Saccharomyces cerevisiae S288C: one gene and its partner. Changing the gene in region 1 together with any one later gene gives a genetic interaction. Each region holds a gene or a part of one and is shown on either strand. Other genes may lie near its edges.

Region 1 (10,521 bases):
GAAATTGAAACTGAATACTACGGCAAAGACCGGTTCGAATTGGAAAATCATTTCACCTCTATCGAGCACTTGACTGAAGCTTTGAGCTCCAAATCAAGTGAAGCCGTCTTCGACATAATCATCATGAGTGCTCCATCTTTACAGGAATTATCCTCGTTAGCGTCCAAGTTAACGTCCATAATCGATTCGAACACCAAAATTTTCTTAGAAAGCAGTGGTTTCATCCAATTGGAACCGTTTGTCAAATTATCGATGGAATCTCCGCATGTAAACGTTTTCAGTATTTTGACTGATTTGGATATTCGTCAAATCGGTCCAAACCATTTCAAACACTTTCCTAGTACTGCAAAGGAGAACACGATTTACCTCGGCGAAAGTAAGTCCAGCACTGAGAAATATTCATCAGGCGTTATAACATTATTAACCACTTTTGAAAAACTGTTTGCTAAATTGTTTTCCAACATAAAAATCAATTTGTGCAATTTCTCATCAATTGAGTTTCTATCACAACAATGGAAGCTGGCGATTTCCAGAATTTGTTTTGATCCGTTGTTAATCATGTTTGAACAAGAAAACCCAAGTGATCTAGACCAGCAGATCATTGCCAAACCTTTAATATCAGGTCTGGTAACTGAAATCATCACTGTAGCAAAAACAATGGGAGCCAGACTAAACAGTAGTCATGATAATGAAAACTCTCTTTTATCTCTATGGAAGAATTCTTATCATTCAACCAATAAGCCACCTGCATTGGTTTATCATTTCATTCATCAAACAACGCCTTTGAACATCGATATCCTGTTGTTACAAACTATTTTATTAGCCGATGACTTTGGTATCAAAACTCCGTACTTAGAATTTTTATACTCTGTTTTGTCCCAATTTGAAAGATTGAATAGTGGCAAATCTAAATGGTTTATTAGGTCAGATGAAAAAACTCAAATCTTACAAAGCTTGCAAAAATCACAAAAAAATGAATCTGCTTTACAGACTCAAATTACCTCCTTACAAGGTCAAATTAGTAAACTAAGACAAGAGTTGCTTATGCAGGCCAAGCAACATGAAATGGAAACTAATGAGTTAAAGGAGAAACATCAAGTCGCTCTAAAAGCCCAGGCCCAAGCCCAAGCTCAAGCCCAATCTCAAGCTCAAACATCAATTGAAGCACTAACGCCAACTGAAGCAACAAACCAATCCGATACAAATGAATATAAAGCAACAGGAACTCCGAATTTGAGGGACATCGAAGATATGGCACTATATAGTGTAAACTACGGAGACTCTCCAGTGAGATCTCCACCACCTGTTGTAAGCTCTCAGCCACAAATGAACTCACCATTATCCTCACATTCACAAACTTTCGGAGAGAATAATGGCACGAATGACAAATTACTACAAGAACGCGAATTGCAACTCCGTAAAAAGGAATTAGAGCTACAAGAACGTGAACTGGAGTTCCAGAAAAGAGCATTACAGCAACAAAGATTTAATAATAGCAATAATTCAATTCCAAGAAAGCCTTCCTTCCCTCAATTACAGCAGTCTGCAAACGTTCGTTCTAACAGCAGAGGAATGCATGGCACCAATGGCGCTATGTCTCAACCTGCATCCGCCGGAAATTTTGTAGACCCAATTTCTTCAAGTATCGCTGCATATGACCCGCAACAACCTCCTTCCTTACCCCTACAGCAGCCACAACAATCGGTACAAGTACAACCTTTTCACTCACACTCTATCAAGCCCACAAGTAGGAAGAATAGAAATAGTAATATGCCTAATATTGGTAATCCTTCCAGTATAAATATGAGTGATTTTGGCAGACCACCGAACAATTCAAGTCAAACTCGCTTAAATTCCATGCCAACGCATAGCATCGTAAACCAGAATAGATTGAGATCACAACAATCGAAAAACAAACTGAATATGCCACATGCCACCAACCCAAACAATACTTTTAACCAAGTCCCTGCTCCTAGTTTAAACAATCACGTTCCCACACAAAGGCAATTTAGCTCCAGTACCATGATAGAAGTTACAAATAATAACAACAAAGTTAATAACAGTAGTAGCAACCCTGATATTTCCACCAACTCGGTAGTTCATAACGCAATGCAATTTACAAATACAAACAACAATACAAGTAGCACTGTGGATATAAACGATCCCAAAAATATTGCACCCCCTCCTACAACCTCTGTTTCAGCCCCAAGCACTCCAACCTTGTCCTCATCAAGTCAAATGGCGAATATGGCTTCGCCTAGTACCGATAATGGTGACAATGAGGAGAAAAATGGTGGTAAGAAGAAGAGATTTGGCCTATTCAAAAAAAAAAATAAATCAAAGAAATAATATCCTTCGACAGCTTAATGAACACGCATGTAAATGTTTTGTAAACAGTTTGTTTTTTCGTTTTTGTATCTGTTAATTTTCTATTATTTATTTTTTTAGTTTTTTTTTGCGGTAGAATTGGGTTATCACTGAATCTATTTTATTTTTTGGGTTGGTTTCTCCCTGTTTTCAGTTTGTTTGAATTGGTGTTTAACAAAATCTGGAATTATTCACTATAATTATTTCCTCTTTTTAGTTTGACCAAATAAACTCAACTATCTTGTGTTATTTCTTTGTATTATAGCTTTACACATATTTAACTATCCATACCTTTTACTTTTTGTATATACTGTTAATTTCATAAAACACGTTTTAGTACCAGAAAATCGTGTCATAGCACCGTTTTAGCAGTGATTTTTAAAATTGTCCAAGGTGCCAATAAATACTGGTGGGAACAACATTTTAATTAGAATAGCTAAAACCTTCTAAGAAAACTATCCCAGCGTAGAAAGAAAGAAATCTCTATCAGCCGCGCAAGTGCAGTATCTCTTATTTTTGCACGGCCCCGTCGCTATATTGTCACACGCATTTGAATTAGTGACTCAATAATAATACAGATTTGTGACGTATAAAGAAACCACAGAAAAACTGCGTATGTCCGAAGCACAGGTCCACTAGTAATAGAGCCCAAAAATCTGACATGAAGAAAACAATTTACAAAGTCCTCGTAAGTTTTTATCAATATGTCGGTTTAGGTAAAAAGTTCCATCCTAGCCACGATACAGTATTAATTATTGGCGGTTCTTCAAATGAGTTAGGCATCGAGCTCTGCGAGACATTTATAGAAGATTATCATACAAAGGTTATAAATATTGACACTATAGACAGTATTAATGGAAAAAACGCAAGGAGAAGTGAAAAACTGTATACTTTTATTTCTTGCAAAGATTTCAGTGACATAAAATGTCTTGAGGAATCCATGCTTTACCTTCAAAATTTAGAAATAATTCCTACAGTGCTCATTAACAACATGCAGGAGGGAATCGAATCGACTCTTCTCAAAGAAGACAAATTTTTGAGACTTGATGAAGAGTCTTTAAATGAATTCGAGAAAATCGTGAGGTATAATTTACAAAGTGTAATATTGATAACTAAGTTCTGCTTGAGTAACATTTTTCCAAAGGTTCAAGCTGAAGCTCAAGAAAAAGCAAAGGGGTTCTATATTGTCAACATATCATCGGTATTGACGTTAAAACCGTGCAAATCAGGAACACATTTTATTACATCGAAATGTGGTATAAACTCTTTCCACGATGGAATAACCTCAGAGCTTAAATTGAAAGATAGTAATTTGAATGTAAAAACGCTGATTGCATATTTACCCAGTTTTGAAAGTGAAGCACATTGGAAGAGACTTTCCCCGAGTATCTCGAAACATCTCGTCCACTGTCTACTTGAGGGAAGATATGGTGATACAATTCTCGAAAGCAAAAGATCAATTGGTGATATTCTTTTGATAACTGGTTTCAAAAGCTCTTTTACTTAAGGGTACTACAAATCGAAGTAACAGTGATAAAATTGCTAAGCACATATATTTCTATAAATAATTCAAGGAAAAGAAAGGTAACACTACAATTTTTATGATGATAAATAATTTGAATAAACCGGCCAGAATAGGCCAAAAAATTTTTTTTAAGTCTAACGAGATTCTCCTCCAAGGCAATAAGAATCAATAAGTCTTAGTACTGATGGTAGCTCCAATACAGGCACATTGAACCACTCTGTATGCCTCTTTTTTCCAGTTGGATCACACCCATAACAGTAAACCAATCCTTTCCCGTATTTCTTCCATAAAAATTTATGAATAGCGCTTTCGATATCTGGTAGTTTCATTGAACCTTTTCCGCTAATGAAAAATCCACCATCTTTATAAGTGCGTAGGGTTGGCACCTTAGGATCTGGAAGGGAAGGCTTGTGTGAGTGACTTTTATCTTTGATGAAAAGTTTCTCCATTTTTTTTTGTAAGCTTGATAATGAAATGGGCAATAGCCTGTTTGAACTGATATTTTTGCTTTCACTTTTCAATTTCAAGTGGTATAATTTATCGACTTTCTCTGGAGTCAAGTTTATCACTGGATGCTTGCATGTGGTTTGCCATTCTAAAAGTCTTGAATCTACTGTTTTTCGAGTGGTCATTCCTATCTTACATAGAATAAAGTCTCTGTCTACCCATTGTCTCTTCTTTTTACCATTAGTCCGAACTATTGACTCATCAATAAATAGCCATTTTAAATCTACCGTCTTTTCAGATATGTATGATTCAAAGAGGTTACTGTATGTATAGATGTAAATAAAACCCGGTTTATTTTGCGCATTATCTCTTGGTGCCCGTGTGTACCTTGCATCTTGCCACTGATGATAATGACAGTACTTTTTATCCGACGGTATGTTTATCTTGCACCGCTCTCCCTTTTTTGTTATGCCTAAGACATCTCATAATAGATTTAGCTTTGATGAGCACTTTTCTGATATAGTCTTATCTATGATGGGAAACAATTCTTTATTTCTCTTGACATTTGATTTCTTATGGTGTTGGACTTCTCGCGGGAGAGGCGCACATACACGACTACATGATAATAACATTATTAGAAAAATATATCAACATAAAAGAAGAAACTGATATAATACGTGCAATGTGCTTGTATGTAAATAAGTGTGCATTATATGTTTATTAAAAATTAAGAATTAGATTGATTTAATGTTTCGAAAAAAAAAATATTTAGTCATTTCACCATGTTGGATGGGAATTCGTGTGTTGTTATTGGAATGATTCTTCCTTTTTGGAGAGGAAAATAGTCAAAAGAACACGAAATAATATGAAAAAAATTTTCCATATGAATTTGCATCCAATCAAGCAAAAGATCGGCCTACTTCTGATATGTGGATATGTTTGTTTGTGTGTGTGTGTGTGTGTGTGTGTGATAAAATTGACAGATATGATGCCACTTAGTCTAAAAACTTGTGTGTAAACTTTAAAACTGTAACATCATATCGAAGGTATCAAACAGAGCACAATTGAAGAGGCATTAATTTGATTTTTGTTGACCGTGTTCTTTTATAACGTCTTGGCTTCCTTGGTATCGACAAATTGAAATGAAAATGAGGAATAACAAAAAGGAGATCAATAAGAAAAAAAATCAGATGGATGATGTTTAAAATTACTAACTGCTTTTTTCGTGTTGAGTAGAAACTCTTTGCATAGCAGCCATGAAATCTTCGACACTTCTTGTAGACTTCTTTTCCTTTAATGACTTACCATTCATCAACCTATCAAAGGCTTGAGACGTGGACATAATATAGTAAAATCCTCCCAATACACAAAAAATACCAATGGACCAAATCCAGACACGAACGACTGACACAATATCAGTCCAGTTTTCAGACCACCAGCCAAATAAGGTAAACATGGTAGCAATAATATCAACGGCGAAAACGGCACCGGCTAACTGCCACGATGGAATGGAAGACCAGAATGGGCCAGCAGCTCTAGTGACAAAAATTAACCAATTTTCAGTTAGTGAAATCTGCAGGAACATGACACCATTCATGGCACCAAAATTTTGGATAATACCACCATTAGGCAAGAACATGGTGGTTAAAGTAATCCAAGAACCTATAGCTAAAACTATGCCCAAAATAATAGACATACCCCATAATCTTGGTAGGTTCCATTTCACAGGTTCAGGAGCATAAGGAGCATTGTCATAAGCAATAGTTAAAGTGGCAACGTCTGCGAAAATAGCAATAAAAACGATCAAATTGATATCCAAAGAGTTGTTTAAAATAGCAATCCATAAACCCAGGAAAATCTCCAAATGTAAGGATAGGGCAATACGATAAACAACATAGGAGTACATTCTGTGGAAAATCTGTCTAGAAGTCTTTAAGGCATCAATAATAGCAGAGAGACCAGGGGCCAAGAAAACAATATCAGCGGCTGATCTGGCAGCATCGGTAGCACCTTCGACAGCAATACCAGTATCAGCCTTCTTCAAAGATGGGGCATCGTTAACACCATCACCAGTCATAGCAACCAAGTAACCTCTGTTTTGCAAGATTTCAACGACTCTGTATTTATGCTGTGGGAAAACTTCTGCGAAACCATCGGCATTTTCAACAAAATCAGCCAACTCTGAACCAGGCATATCACCTCCACCTCCCAGACCTAACCTTTCTGCGTTATAAATGTTTGTACCAAGTCCTAATTGCCTACACGTTTCTTTCGCGATACCAACAGCGTCACCGGTTAACATCTTGATTCTCAAACCAAGGTTTCTGGCCTCATTGATTGTTTGAGCGGTGTCATCTCTAGGGGGGTCCATACATGGCATAACACCCAAGATTTCCCAGTGACCTTCCCCTCTCTTTCTAGCAACACCTAAAGCACGGAAACCTCTAGAAGCTAGTTCAGCAACCTTATTTTCGTAGTTTTCATGCACATCTTCCGGAATTGGGTGATCTTCTTCAACAGTCTTCAAGACAAACAATGGGGCTCCCTTGACACAAACAATTCTTTCACCTTCTGGGGATTCTACAACAGCGGTAACCTTTTTTGAGACAGGGTCGAACGGATGGAATTCCAAAACTTTGTACTTGGTCAGGGCGTCTTTAGCTTTTGGATACTCAATCAATGACTTCAAAAAAGCCTTATCAATAGCATCCAAACCTTTCTTCTTTCTAGAGGCAGCTAAACAAGCGGTCAACATCAAGTCGTCCGGAGAAACGCCTTCGACAGTGTAGGGTTCGTGTAAAGATAACTTGTTTTTGGTTAAAGTACCAGTCTTGTCAGAACATAAAATCTCAACACCAGCAAGGGATTCAATAGCAGATAACTTTTGAACAATGGCTTGCTTCTTAGCCAAGTAAGCTGCACCGACAGCCATGGTCGTGGTAACAACTGCTGGCAAACCGACTGGGACACCAATGATGGTTATACCCAAAGTATATCTCAAAATGCTTACAATACCGACCGTTCTATAGAAACATGCGGTCCAGACCAACAACAAAGTAGCGATAACTAGAACAAGTAAGATAATACCAATTCCATTCAATACTTCAGTGAAATGGCCCTCTACACCGGAAGCCTGCCCCACTAAGGCGGCAGCCCTACCGACGAAGGTATTGTCACCAGTGGCAGTAACAACCATAAAAGCCTCGCCGGTTTTCACAGTGGATGAGGAGAACACCTCATCACCGTAATGCTTTTCAGCGGCTAAGGATTCACCAGTGATGGCCGATTGATCGATCTGCAAAAAACAGTCTTCAGTGACAATACGACCATCTGCGGGAGCAATTGTGCCACTTTCCAATTGCAAAATCTCACCAGGAACTACCTCATTAGCCGGAATTTCGATCAATTGGCCATCTCTAATAACTGTTGCAGTATTGGCCAACGTCTTTTTCAGCTCGTCTACGATGGAACCTGCCTGGAATTCTTGAATAAATCCGACAGATGCGTTTAATAGCAGTAAAGCACAGATGACACCGACATCAACCCAATCAGACAAACCGGCAGCCAAAATAGCAGCAGCCTCCATAACGAATTGAATAGGCCCTACGAAGAACATCAAAAACTTCACAATCAACGATTCATTCTCCTCAGCCATTTGATTTAACCCATATTTCTTTCTTCTCCTGGCGACTTCATCCGAAGTCAAACCATACGCAGGGTCCGTAGAAAGGTCCTTTTCAGGAACAACCCTTTGGCCAGCGTGCACCCCATCAGTACGTACTTCTTCTTCACCAGATTCATCACCCTCACCGTAGTTAGATTGTAGTTCATCAATCAATTGGTCTATATCTTCATCTGAGTCAGAATCATCAGCGGCAGAAGCGGCTGCGGCCTTCCGTGGAACGGCTGCAGCCGATGACGAGGCGGAAGTTGATGTAGAAGACGAAGATGACGAAGAAGCGGCAGAATTATTTGCAGGGTCATCGCCATCACTGGCATGGAGGTACTCTTTCGAGGGTTTCTCCTTGTATTGCTTTGCTTCAGTGGAAGACATAACGCAAAACAGTTTCCTTTTGCTTAAATTGTACTAGCACACAGCAACGAAAAATGAAAAAAAAAAAGTTATGGGTATGTTTAAAAAAGCCCAGTAGCTTGGATACAGTAGGTTATCCAGCAAGAAATGCTGGAAGAAATAATAGATGGTAAAAGAGGATATTACACACCTTTATATAACGAAGTACCATCACACCGCCAATTACGTTTAGGGGACGCCGACAAGAAGTAAATTCACTATTATGTACTTACAAATATGTTTCCACCGATAACCTTTCCCCCTTCGACGGTTATTTGAGCAGCGTCTGTCCGCCATTTTTCCAGAGAAGCTACTTCATCAATCAATTGACTTCGCAATTCCCTTAAACAAAAAAAATTTCTTTTGCCCTCCCTCGACGATTTTGGAGTAGAGAATACCTTAGGCCTTTTTTTTTCTTTTTTCTCACGGCTGCTCTTCCTCTTTTTCGCATATTCTATTTTATCATCGACTTCCCTAATTCGCACTCGTACCAAAATGTTAAGCAGTATGGCGAAGAACGTGGCGCGCTGGAGTCGTGAATGTTTGGGTCCTTGATGATGGACTACGGTAGTAAGTATGTAGTAGTTGCAACTTCATATGTTCACTTCTGATCCAAGGAAGAGCGGTTATGAATTAATCTCTTGGCATGAGCGGACGGGTAAGGGGACACCGCCTTTTCTTCGATGGGAATCAGGGTAATGGTATATGATGGATTATTGTGGAATCATTTAGTACGGCAGATGTTGAAAAAAAAAGCAGAAAATTTTTGAATTTTTTTCGTTGACATTGGAAGATTTCGTAGTGGAAACAGCTGCAATTGCTTGTTAAGTAGTAACCCCTCCTTTGTCACAAGAGAGCGAATATTCTTTCTAGGGAGGTTTAAGAATAGAACATCTCACACCAGACGCGACTCATAATTCATAATGCCAATTGACCAAGAAAAATTAGCTAAGCTACAAAAGTTGTCTGCTAACAACAAAGTTGGTGGTACTAGAAGAAAGCTTAACAAGAAGGCAGGCTCTTCTGCCGGTGCCAACAAGGATGACACCAAGTTGCAAAGTCAATTAGCTAAGTTGCACGCTGTCACCATTGACAACGTCGCCGAAGCCAACTTTTTCAAGGACGACGGTAAGGTCATGCACTTCAACAAGGTCGGTGTCCAAGTTGCTGCTCAACACAACACTTCTGTATTCTACGGTCTACCACAGGAAAAGAACTTGCAAGATTTGTTCCCAGGTATTATCTCTCAATTGGGCCCTGAAGCCATCCAAGCCTTGTCTCAATTGGCTGCCCAAATGGAAAAGCACGAAGCCAAGGCTCCAGCTGATGCTGAAAAGAAGGATGAAGCTATTCCAGAGTTAGTTGAAGGTCAAACTTTTGATGCTGACGTCGAATAAATAACTTAATCTTTAATTTTAACGTTAAATAAAAAAACACATATTTTGTTCCATTTTTTTTCATTTTTTTTAGCATATCTAAAGCATATAATACAAACACTGTTTTCTGCAAAAAAAAAAAAATAAAAAATAAAATATAAAAAAACAATATACCACACTATGCTGCACACGTGAAATGATGAACTTGTACGTCACCACTTTGTGCGCAAAAAATTGGCAAAAGTAGAGAACATGTCACTAACTGTATCGGAATATTACAACGTTTTTTTATTCTACTTATCTCAATGGCTAAAGTATATATCTATCTATATATGTATGTGTAGGTGTGCTGATGGAGACAAATACGTTTTCCTCTAGCCTTACAACAGGCCGGTACCATTCTTTATCGCATCCTTGATGAGCTCATCTACATCAACGTCTGAACCTTCACTTAGTTTCTTTCTGTTTCTTTGACAGGTCAGTGTGTTAGAATGTCTTTTTAGAGCATCCTTCCTGGCAAACCCTTTGCCACAGTTTGAGCAAATATGCGGCAGCACGAGTGAGTGTACCTTTTCATGTCTTCTCAGATCAGAACTTCTGCTGAATTTCAACTGACATTTCGCACAGCTGTAGAGCTGTGCGCCTTCCTTGCTATGGTTGTTACCTCCTGTTCTTTTTGTTTGTGTTTCTGGAATCCTTATAAGACCTCTAGCCATATTTTCCGGCTCCCCAGC
Region 2 (8,854 bases), on another chromosome or scaffold:
TTGTTCACCACTTCTACCGCTATAGGTGTTTTTGGCTTGATTCCAAATTCATTCACTTGGAACTTAATAGGTATAGTACTTCTGGTAGTGTACAGACCATTTTATTACACAGTTGTTTCTGATTATTCTTCAAAAGTTTTTGGATTTGACACATTTGGTACTGTTTATGGGTTATTGTCCTGCATTTGTGGTATTTTCAACATGAGTCAAAACTTACTGGACAAATGGACACATACTACTTTCAACATGAATCCATTCCCAATAAACCTTACACTGGTAATCCTCACAGTCGTTTTTTCACTAACTTTAACATTTTACATACGATCTCAGATTTTGCCCAAGCCCGTGAATGAAAGAGGATTGTCCTCCAACTACCAAACTATCTGAGTGCACACTTTCAAGCTAACACGCACTTTATTTATATTTAAATGACATAAAGTTATATATCTAGAAAGTTTATTTATCGTTCTCAGTACCATCCTCATCCTAGTATGTATAGCTTGTACCCATTAAAAGAATTTTATCATGCCGCCGAAAGGAACAATTTCAAGTACTATCGGAAGATGAATGGTTAGATGTTAAGCGCTGTCACTTCAAACTTCACATTTATAAAGATGTCACATGGACCACTATTATCTACCTTAAGTTATTTATCAAGATAAGTTTCCGGATCTTTTTCTTTCCTAACACCCCAGTCAGCCTGAGTTACATCCAGCCATTGAACCTTAGAAAATCTTTTGTCATTAGCGGTTTGAGCCCTAAGATCAACATCTTGCTTAGTAATCACTGCAATGGCGTCATAACCACCAGCACCAGGTATTAAGCAAGTAAGAACTCCTTTTAAGGTCTGGCAATCATCCAATAAGCTAGTTTGTACGGGAGGTTCGATATCGGCACCAGATTCTTTAGTTATTTTTCTAAAGGAACGTCTAATTGTGGCAACTGCATCTCTAACTTCTGTGATTTCAGGATACTTTTGACAGGTACAGTCATTCCTCTCAAGAGACTCAAATATCTGATCGCTGTAATCGTCATGAGTCTCGTGTAAGCGATCTAGTTTAGATAGTCCATCCATAAATCTAGAATTTGCATGATCGAGTTCTGTATATATTTTCAAGCTTTCTGGCATATGCGAATCATACCAATTTTTTACCTTCTGGACCAGTTTTACTGTTTCTGAACCATTCTTAATATCGCCCATCCATAAAGTTAATCCCGAAGGTAAATGGTTACTTTTAATCGTAATATTCCAGTCTTCTTCATCAACCAAATGCGCCAGTTTACTGCCGTAAGTAGCACTTCCAATATCTGGCAAATTAGAGATTAATGCGGGTGGGAATCTTCTATATCTGATAGATCCATATGCTGCCGCCGCTACATCAAACCCGCTTCCAATTTTACCCTGAGCTTGACAATGAGCAACTTGTGCTAAATTATGAATAACTTCTCTATATTTGTCTACATTATTTTCCAGGTCCGATACAAAAAAGGAGGCCAAAGCTGTAGTTAAAACTGTGACTAAACCTGCCGAGGAGCCCAGCCCTGTTTTGGGAACTTCTTCAATTCTGTGCGAATGAAAACTCAATCTTCTGTTGCCACGATGTTCGGTAACGCTATCCTCCTGAGAATGGTAGGCATCATCAGAGAAAATATCAATAACGAACAAGTTTCTATTGCAGTAGTCGTCCATGTTAGGTTTAAAGTAGCTAAATACGTTAGCGATAACTTTTTCAATGAAAGGGTTCTTAGATCCGCCTATCGAAACAGGAATGAAGCCACTTTTAGGACTTATATGGTACAGCCACTCCCCATCTTTAAATTGTTTACTTTTCACACGCACTTCAAACTTATCAGACCCTTGCAATGAACCGTAAGGATGGGCTACAGCATGCATTCTTGCCGATAATCCGACTACAAATGCTTCATATTTTGTATCTAAAACTAAATATCCACCAGCTAGTAACGCTTTCCCTGGGGCACTGAAGGCTCTCAACTCTGACATTTCTCGAGGCAGCCGATTGATTTATTATGAGGCCTTCCAAGATGTTTTTTCACCTTTTTTGTTTTTCCATTCTTTATATAATCTTTCTTTCCATTCGACATGACGTTAACTCCGCCTTAAAACCGAACTTTTTTCCTTTTAGATCTCGTATAGAAAAACGCATCGCAATAATTATTACTATCTACATATTCCTGTATACAATTTGATTATTTGTCAACACTTGGATGCGTATTCTGTCCACGGCTTTTTGGCTCGTGCCCCCTACGCCTTTTAGTATTTGATGCGGCAGAACTGCCTTCTGTGATTTTTCTTTTCCGTCTTCTGCTGTTGTAGTTTCTTTTACGGCTTTTCTTTTTTGCTTTAGTTTTGTCCTTTTCGCGGTTTGTTTCCTCATCATTATTATTTTCTGGAGAACTTTTATCATTGATTAGTTCCATACTTGGTTTCTGTTCTTCAAGTACAGATTTTGAAGGCATTTCCTCCTGTTCTTCTTTAACTTCTACTTTAACAGGTATATCCACTGCTTGATGTTCGGGCTCCTCACCTTCATTTACTTTGATGTTAATGGAATTATCGTGTGGCTCATTATCAACATCGTGGCTAGATAAATGTTCTGATCTATCATCCAAAACGGATGTTACATTGGTTTTATCGTGTTTCTCAAGCGTGGTGGCGGGAATTTCATCATTAATTTCCATAGGGACTTCATTTGGCGTGTCTGAGAATATTTCATACACTTCCGGTGATGTTGGCGCACTCTTTTCAGCGGTAATATTTTCCGAATTTGAATAGGGATAAGAATCTGTCACTTCTTCCTTATCAGACGGAGGATCAGATGGAAGATCTGTGGACGGTATATTTCCGCGTTGCCTTTCATCATCATTCATTTTACTAGAAGCTGCTGTCTCTGTAGGGCCCTCTATTTCCAATTCGTACAACTCAGCTTCTTCTGGCTCTGAATTTAGTTCTTCTATTGACCTCTCCTGATTGTTTGATAGGTCCAGGTCTTCTTCATGTTCGGGGTGTTGAATGCTAATATCTAACTCCGAAAAAGTGTCTTCTTCAATTGCTCCAGCATATTTCTCATTAACGGACTTTTCAAACGTGAGATCCCGTTCACGGCTTGTATTAACTTCGTCTGATTCTTCTTGATTTTTTCCTCTCCTGGAATCTTCAATGAGCCTCTGAGAATAATTCTCTAGGTCACTTAGATTCTTTAGGAGTTGTTGTCTCTTAATATCATCGGGGGCATTACTGTGAATATTTGCTGATGTTATATCTCCATATATGGTATCAAATTCTTCTTCATTCTCGCTGTGGTCTTTCTTTTCGAAATGTTGCTCGGATTGTAAACCTTCAACTAGCGGCTCTTCCGACTTATGCAAATTTTCCTTGTCCTTTACTTGCTGTCGAAACACTTCGGAGTCCTCTTCATAAGCACCGTTTGTCGTGGGATCGATGTTTATCACACGAGAATTATTACCATTGTCATTATGTGCTTCTGCGGTAACTCCTCCGAGTATGACAGCTTCATCTTCATCGCTGTCTCTCTCTTTGCTACTTACACTTTTCATATTAACAGATGCATCGGTAGAATTCGACTTGTTAAAAATGTCTTGATTATAATCACCAATATCAACGTTATCATCACTCTCAGAATCCATAACATCAATTTTTTTCACGAATGATTCAGCTACGTCGACTACCTTACCCACTCCCTTAACTACAGCTCCAATAACACGAATTGGGGATGAAAAAATATTTGATCGATCAGATTCTGGCTTCAATGGTTCCACAGACTCAATTTCCGAACTGGACACCCGAATGTCCAAATTATGTTTTGCAGATCCCTCAACATTTTTTTCAGCTGTGGAGTCTTGGTCTCGGTCTGAATCAGAGCAAGCTTGGCTAACCTGATCATGCATATTGGTATTATTTTCCAGGGCTTTTGTGTTTTCAATGGTAGTTGCTCTTCTTTCAAAGAGCACTTCGTTGTGCGTTTTTTCCACGCACGACCTTTCTGGGATCTCCATATTATTTCCAATCGCATTCTCATCTATTCTTTCGATAATGGAAATGTGTGCTTCCTCCGTATCTGTATTCTGGATATAGTATTTTCTTTCACCAGCTTCGTAATTCGCTTGCGCCTCTTGATTGATGACGTCGGTGTGCATGTCTTTGTTCTGAACATTTACGGATGAACTGACATTGGCTTCGAAAAGTGTTTCTTCTTCGTGCACCTTATTAACTTTTTCATTTTCTGGTTCTACTATTCCGAGAGTATCCTTTTTTGTACCTTTAACTATATTTTCATTACTGCCTTCATCATTGCCTGGTTCTGGATCCGCATAATCTTGTTCATATGAATCCTCACTTTCCTCTTCATCAAGCTTATCAACTACTTCAGCTTTTGTAAGTTCCTTCTTGAGTGATTCGTCGTCTTCAAGATCACTATTTCTTACTTTATATTTAGTAGAAGAGAATTCAGTGTTGTCGTTGCTTTCTTGAAAATTGTCTGGCGAATCTGTTGAAAACGAAATTTGAGTTTTACTACCATCATCATTCTGTTTTACGCATTCATCGCCAGAAGACATCTCAGCTTCGTTCATATCCTTTTCACAGTATCTTAAATTTTCTTCTACATTTGAAGCCGTTTCAATTATGTCCTCGCAGGAAGAGTCTCCTGTAACGTTGGTATAATTAATCGCTGAAAAGTACTTTTCATCCGTGTTATCTTCAGTTGACTTGTCAGTACTGTTAGCCACGCCTGGAAAATTTTTACTTTGATTTTTATTTTCATCACCTGTATTTTCATTTTCAAAAGTAACGTTTTCCGTAGATTCATCCAAATCGCTCACCTGTTTAGTTTCCTTACTTGTGTGAAAAATGTTTGTGTGCCCAGATGTAGATGTCAAGCATGATTTCGTCACTCCAGCTTCCACAAATTCTGCATCCTTTTTGGTGAAAGCTGGGGCAAGGGCTGCTAACGTTGATTTCAGTAGGTCATGCTTCTTTTCGTAATCATCGTTCAACGAATTGAATGGGTCATTCATAAATGGTGAAGTGTACTCCACTTGCGGTGGCATGGCAACTGTGTTATCTTCGTAAGAAGTAGAACTATACACAGATTCAGAAATTACTACTTCATATTTCGGAGTTGTTTTGATTTCCATAAGAGGAACATCGGTAAGATTCTCTGATATAGCATCAGCGTCATCGAGTGAATAATAGATACTGTCTTCATTTCCTAATGATGAATTGTTAATCGTAGTATCTGTGGATAGTGGTACCAGTTCTTTTTCTGTAGAACCGTCCAGTTTCTTTTCAGAAACTTTTTCAACCTCTATTTCAACAGAAGATGAAAGATCACCTCGGTCTGTTTTTAAATTATTATTGTTTTCACCTGTGAAGTCCTTTAGGGGTATTTGCTCTTCGGATTCGTCTAAAGACCTGCCCGATAAGTTGCTTCCATTTGAGTGCCCTAAATAAGATTCGGATACCTGCTCCTCTTTTTGAGGGCAGTTCGAATTTCTACTTTGTTGGAATTGAAGCATAGCCCTTGCGGCGAGATCATACAAATTATCAGGGGAATGCTCGTGCAAATCACTTTCGACACTTTTTCCTGTTACGTCATAACCTTCAACATCGTTAATTTGATTTTCTCTTTCTACTATAGCAGGATCAGTTTCATTCTCCAAAACATTTTCCGAGTATTCACTTTTGTTGTTGTTTCCGTGAAAATTTTTGTCTAGAGAGCTTCTGATAATGTCATCTTTTTCAGGTTCTTCGTCATTTTCCTGTTGTTCCACTTTGTTCTTAGTATAAGCATCTTTAGCGAAACCTTGGTCTCTGCTTTCGCTGGTATTCTCAGTTTCTTCTGACGTGCTTTTTTCGTTTTTCATTTTATATTCAAAATCATCTTCACTTCCTTGTTCGCTTTCTTGTGCACTTTGGGATTCACTATCTGAAGATTCTATATCTTCTATTAGTTCCTTATCATCCAGTTCATGTTCATTATGGTGGTACACATTTTCAGCATTTGCTGAGTAACTTTCAGCTTGACTTTCTTCATCCTCGGACTCATCGTCAACTGAAATATTTACTGAACCGAAATCAAATGCACCGTCTTCTGAATATCTTTGATGGACTTTGTGCTCATCAGATTCATATTTTTCGATAACGGGGATCTTAGTATTATCTGTTCTAGGCTGCATGTATTTTGAAAAATCTACCGAATGTTCTGTTCCTTCTGCACCCTGACTTTCATCTTTTTCAGCATCGCTTTCCACATCAATGTCGTCTTCTAATTCCATTTCTACTCCCTCTGAATAATTCTGTCCTTCACTGGAATCAGAAGAACTAATTTGTGTAGCATTCTCTACATTTGCCTGTTCTTGCCCTATATTCTTTCTCTCAACTTGCCCCTCCTCTTCGGCATATTCATCATTCGATACATCTTGTAGTGCTCCTTCCTCTGCATATTCTTCATCTGATAATATCATTATTGAAGGACTACTTTGGCCGTCACTATTCTTTTCTTCTTCAGAGAGCTCGTATTCATCATTTTCAAGATCGAAATCTTTGATTAAAGATTGTTTACCTTCCAGATCTTCATCCTTATCGGAGTCGATATTTGAGGACGACTCGTCCTCAGCGTCCGGTAAGGGAGAACTTATGAAACTATCTAAGGGAATTTCATCATTATTTTGGAAAGAAGTATCCGTTCCGTATTGGCTCTTCCTGAGATCGATTAGTCGCTGATGAGATTTACTGTTTCCTGTGTACTTGTTCATTAAAGAGTCATGAAGCTGAAAACGTTGTCTTTCCTCCTCAAGACTACGCTCAAACAAGGCATCTTCCTTTTCTAGTGTAGTAAGTATACTTTTCCCCCTATTAATTAGAGAATCTACCCAGCTTAATGCCCTCGCACTATCTTCATGAAGGGATTTATTATGAATATGACTGCTTCGCCTGGAGGAAATAGATTCATGTAAAGTCGAGTGCTGAGTAGGCTTTGCTACTCTGTATTTATCATTGTGGACCCTTGAGTACCCATGTTGATCTTTCATTTTGGAATCCTCGTCCGCGTCAAGGAGAGATGACAGTATTTTCAGTTTTCTTCTTGGGGTCGTCAGTTTAAGTTTATTTGCCCTTGGAGTAAAGGTTTCTTTTTTTTTTGACATATTTTCACAGTATAGATTTATTGGTTCTTGTACTTAACCCCTTGGTGAATTTACAACGTGTTCAATATACTTGTCAATAGGACTAAAGACTTTCTCGCATTTTAAATTCCTTTGTTTTCACTTCTTAAGAACAGCTCGCGGAACATGAAAATGGTGAAAAGTGCAAGTTAGAAGTTTTGAAAGAAAGTGAGCATAAAAGCAATAAAAATAGCCAGTGAACTTGCTTTTACATGCTAATATAGTAGATGGATAAAGAAATATATTGTGGATCGGTTCCTGTCAGCTATTTTGACCCGTTTGATTTATTTGAGAGTCTGAGGCCAGAGTTTCAGCAGATTTTACCGTTAGACAATATACATTGGAAGGCATTTGACGGAACTGTACGAACGGTTAACAGGCTTCCAATTGAATTGATTCCAGAAGGTAGAGGGGAGGCAGACAAGTCTAATGATGAACAGCCGTTTATCAGATTTTTGATAGTGAACTGTATCTCTATCGACCAATACAGGGCCAAAGTACGGCCTCTTGTGAGACAGTGGCTACCAAATCTGGAATCTGTATCTTCATCGACAGGAGAAAAAATGATTTATAAACCAATTATTTTACTGTATGCCAATTCTGAAGTAGTGGACTCTAACCTATTCAAATCGGTATCCCTAATGGAGAAATTTGGCAAAGACTTTCCGCATGTACAAACTTTGGAAGTTCGATCGGTTTATAGATCTCCCAAAGAAAGGCAGGAGTTTTGGAACCAATTTAGCCAAAAGATTAAGGCTTCCGTACTGAGCATCTTTCAAAAACGATTGACACATTTGCAACATTCGTTGGCCAATTTACAAAAAGGAAATAACTTTGAGGAACAGCTTTTGACAAGAGAAAAATTGTACGAGTTATATGTGGTATTCAATATTTTGGAAGATGCCAGCCTGGAATTGCAAAAAATCAAAAAAGAAATACTCCGTAGAAACATGAATATGCCGGATGGAAAACTTCAGGTACCTTTTGAATCATCTTCTAAATCAGATGAATCACTGGGCTCCATAATAATAGAAGGTACACTCGATAAGTTTCAATTGCATAAGTATTTTTTCATTAGAAGGTTAAGACTTCTAAAACTAGAGGACCAGACGTTGACCGCCTTTGTAGGAGCATTTCAACTAATCAAGAATTTTATTGAATCCATATCAATAGAGTATAGAAAGTCTGTGAGATTATTGGAATTTAAGCACTATTTTATAACTTCGATGCTGTCATATTTTGAATTTGAGAATGTCTCAAATCCTCTCTTGTGTGAAATCAAAGCTGAGTTATTAATGTTGAAGCGCGACAACTGGGTGCAAGGTGTTATGGCTACAAGTGGTTATAGACTAATGGACAAAAACTACCCTAATAGTGACGTTAAATACAAATTTGATCTATTAAAAGAAACTTTTGTCGATGAAACTGTCTTCCAAGAAAACTTCCTTACTCTCACCAAAGAAATTCTTTCTCTCTTCAACAAATGTGAAGGGAAGCGTCAAAGGATAGTAGATATTTTATCCATTGAGATAGGTTTGCTTTACTATCAGGGAAAGAAATATGAGGAGGCAGTCTCGCTTTTCCTTTCCTGTTACGAATATTATACTCAAACGAACTGGAATAGCATTGGTTTGAAAATATTGCAAGTTTT

The links.
Region 2: mutations in YPL034W (region 1) and ESC1 together harm fitness more than expected from each alone (negative genetic interaction), as found in Saccharomyces cerevisiae (2 studies listed by BioGRID).

The regions. Positions count from the first base shown.
Region 1 is NC_001148.4:480,715-491,235, reverse strand, and holds YPL034W (uncharacterized protein), read right to left. Parts: upstream 4,525-10,521; coding exon 4,027-4,524; downstream 1-4,026. Other genes in the region: SVL3 (Svl3p), read left to right, coding at 1-2,349; SRL4 (Srl4p), read left to right, coding at 3,029-3,874; H(+)-exporting P2-type ATPase PMA2, read right to left, coding at 5,550-8,393; EGD1 (Egd1p), read left to right, coding at 9,335-9,808; MET31 (Met31p), read right to left, coding at 10,168-10,521.
Region 2 is NC_001145.3:705,464-714,317, reverse strand, and holds ESC1 (Esc1p), read right to left. Parts: upstream 7,186-8,854; coding exon 2,209-7,185; downstream 1-2,208. Other genes in the region: FMP42 (Fmp42p), read left to right, coding at 1-387; ERG8 (phosphomevalonate kinase), read right to left, coding at 647-2,002; transport protein particle complex II subunit TRS130, read left to right, coding at 7,431-8,854. UniProt on the Saccharomyces cerevisiae protein: Involved in the clustering of telomeres at the nuclear periphery, forming discrete subcompartments that accumulate a complex of histone-binding silencing factors like SIR4. Required for SIR4-mediated anchoring and partitioning of plasmids.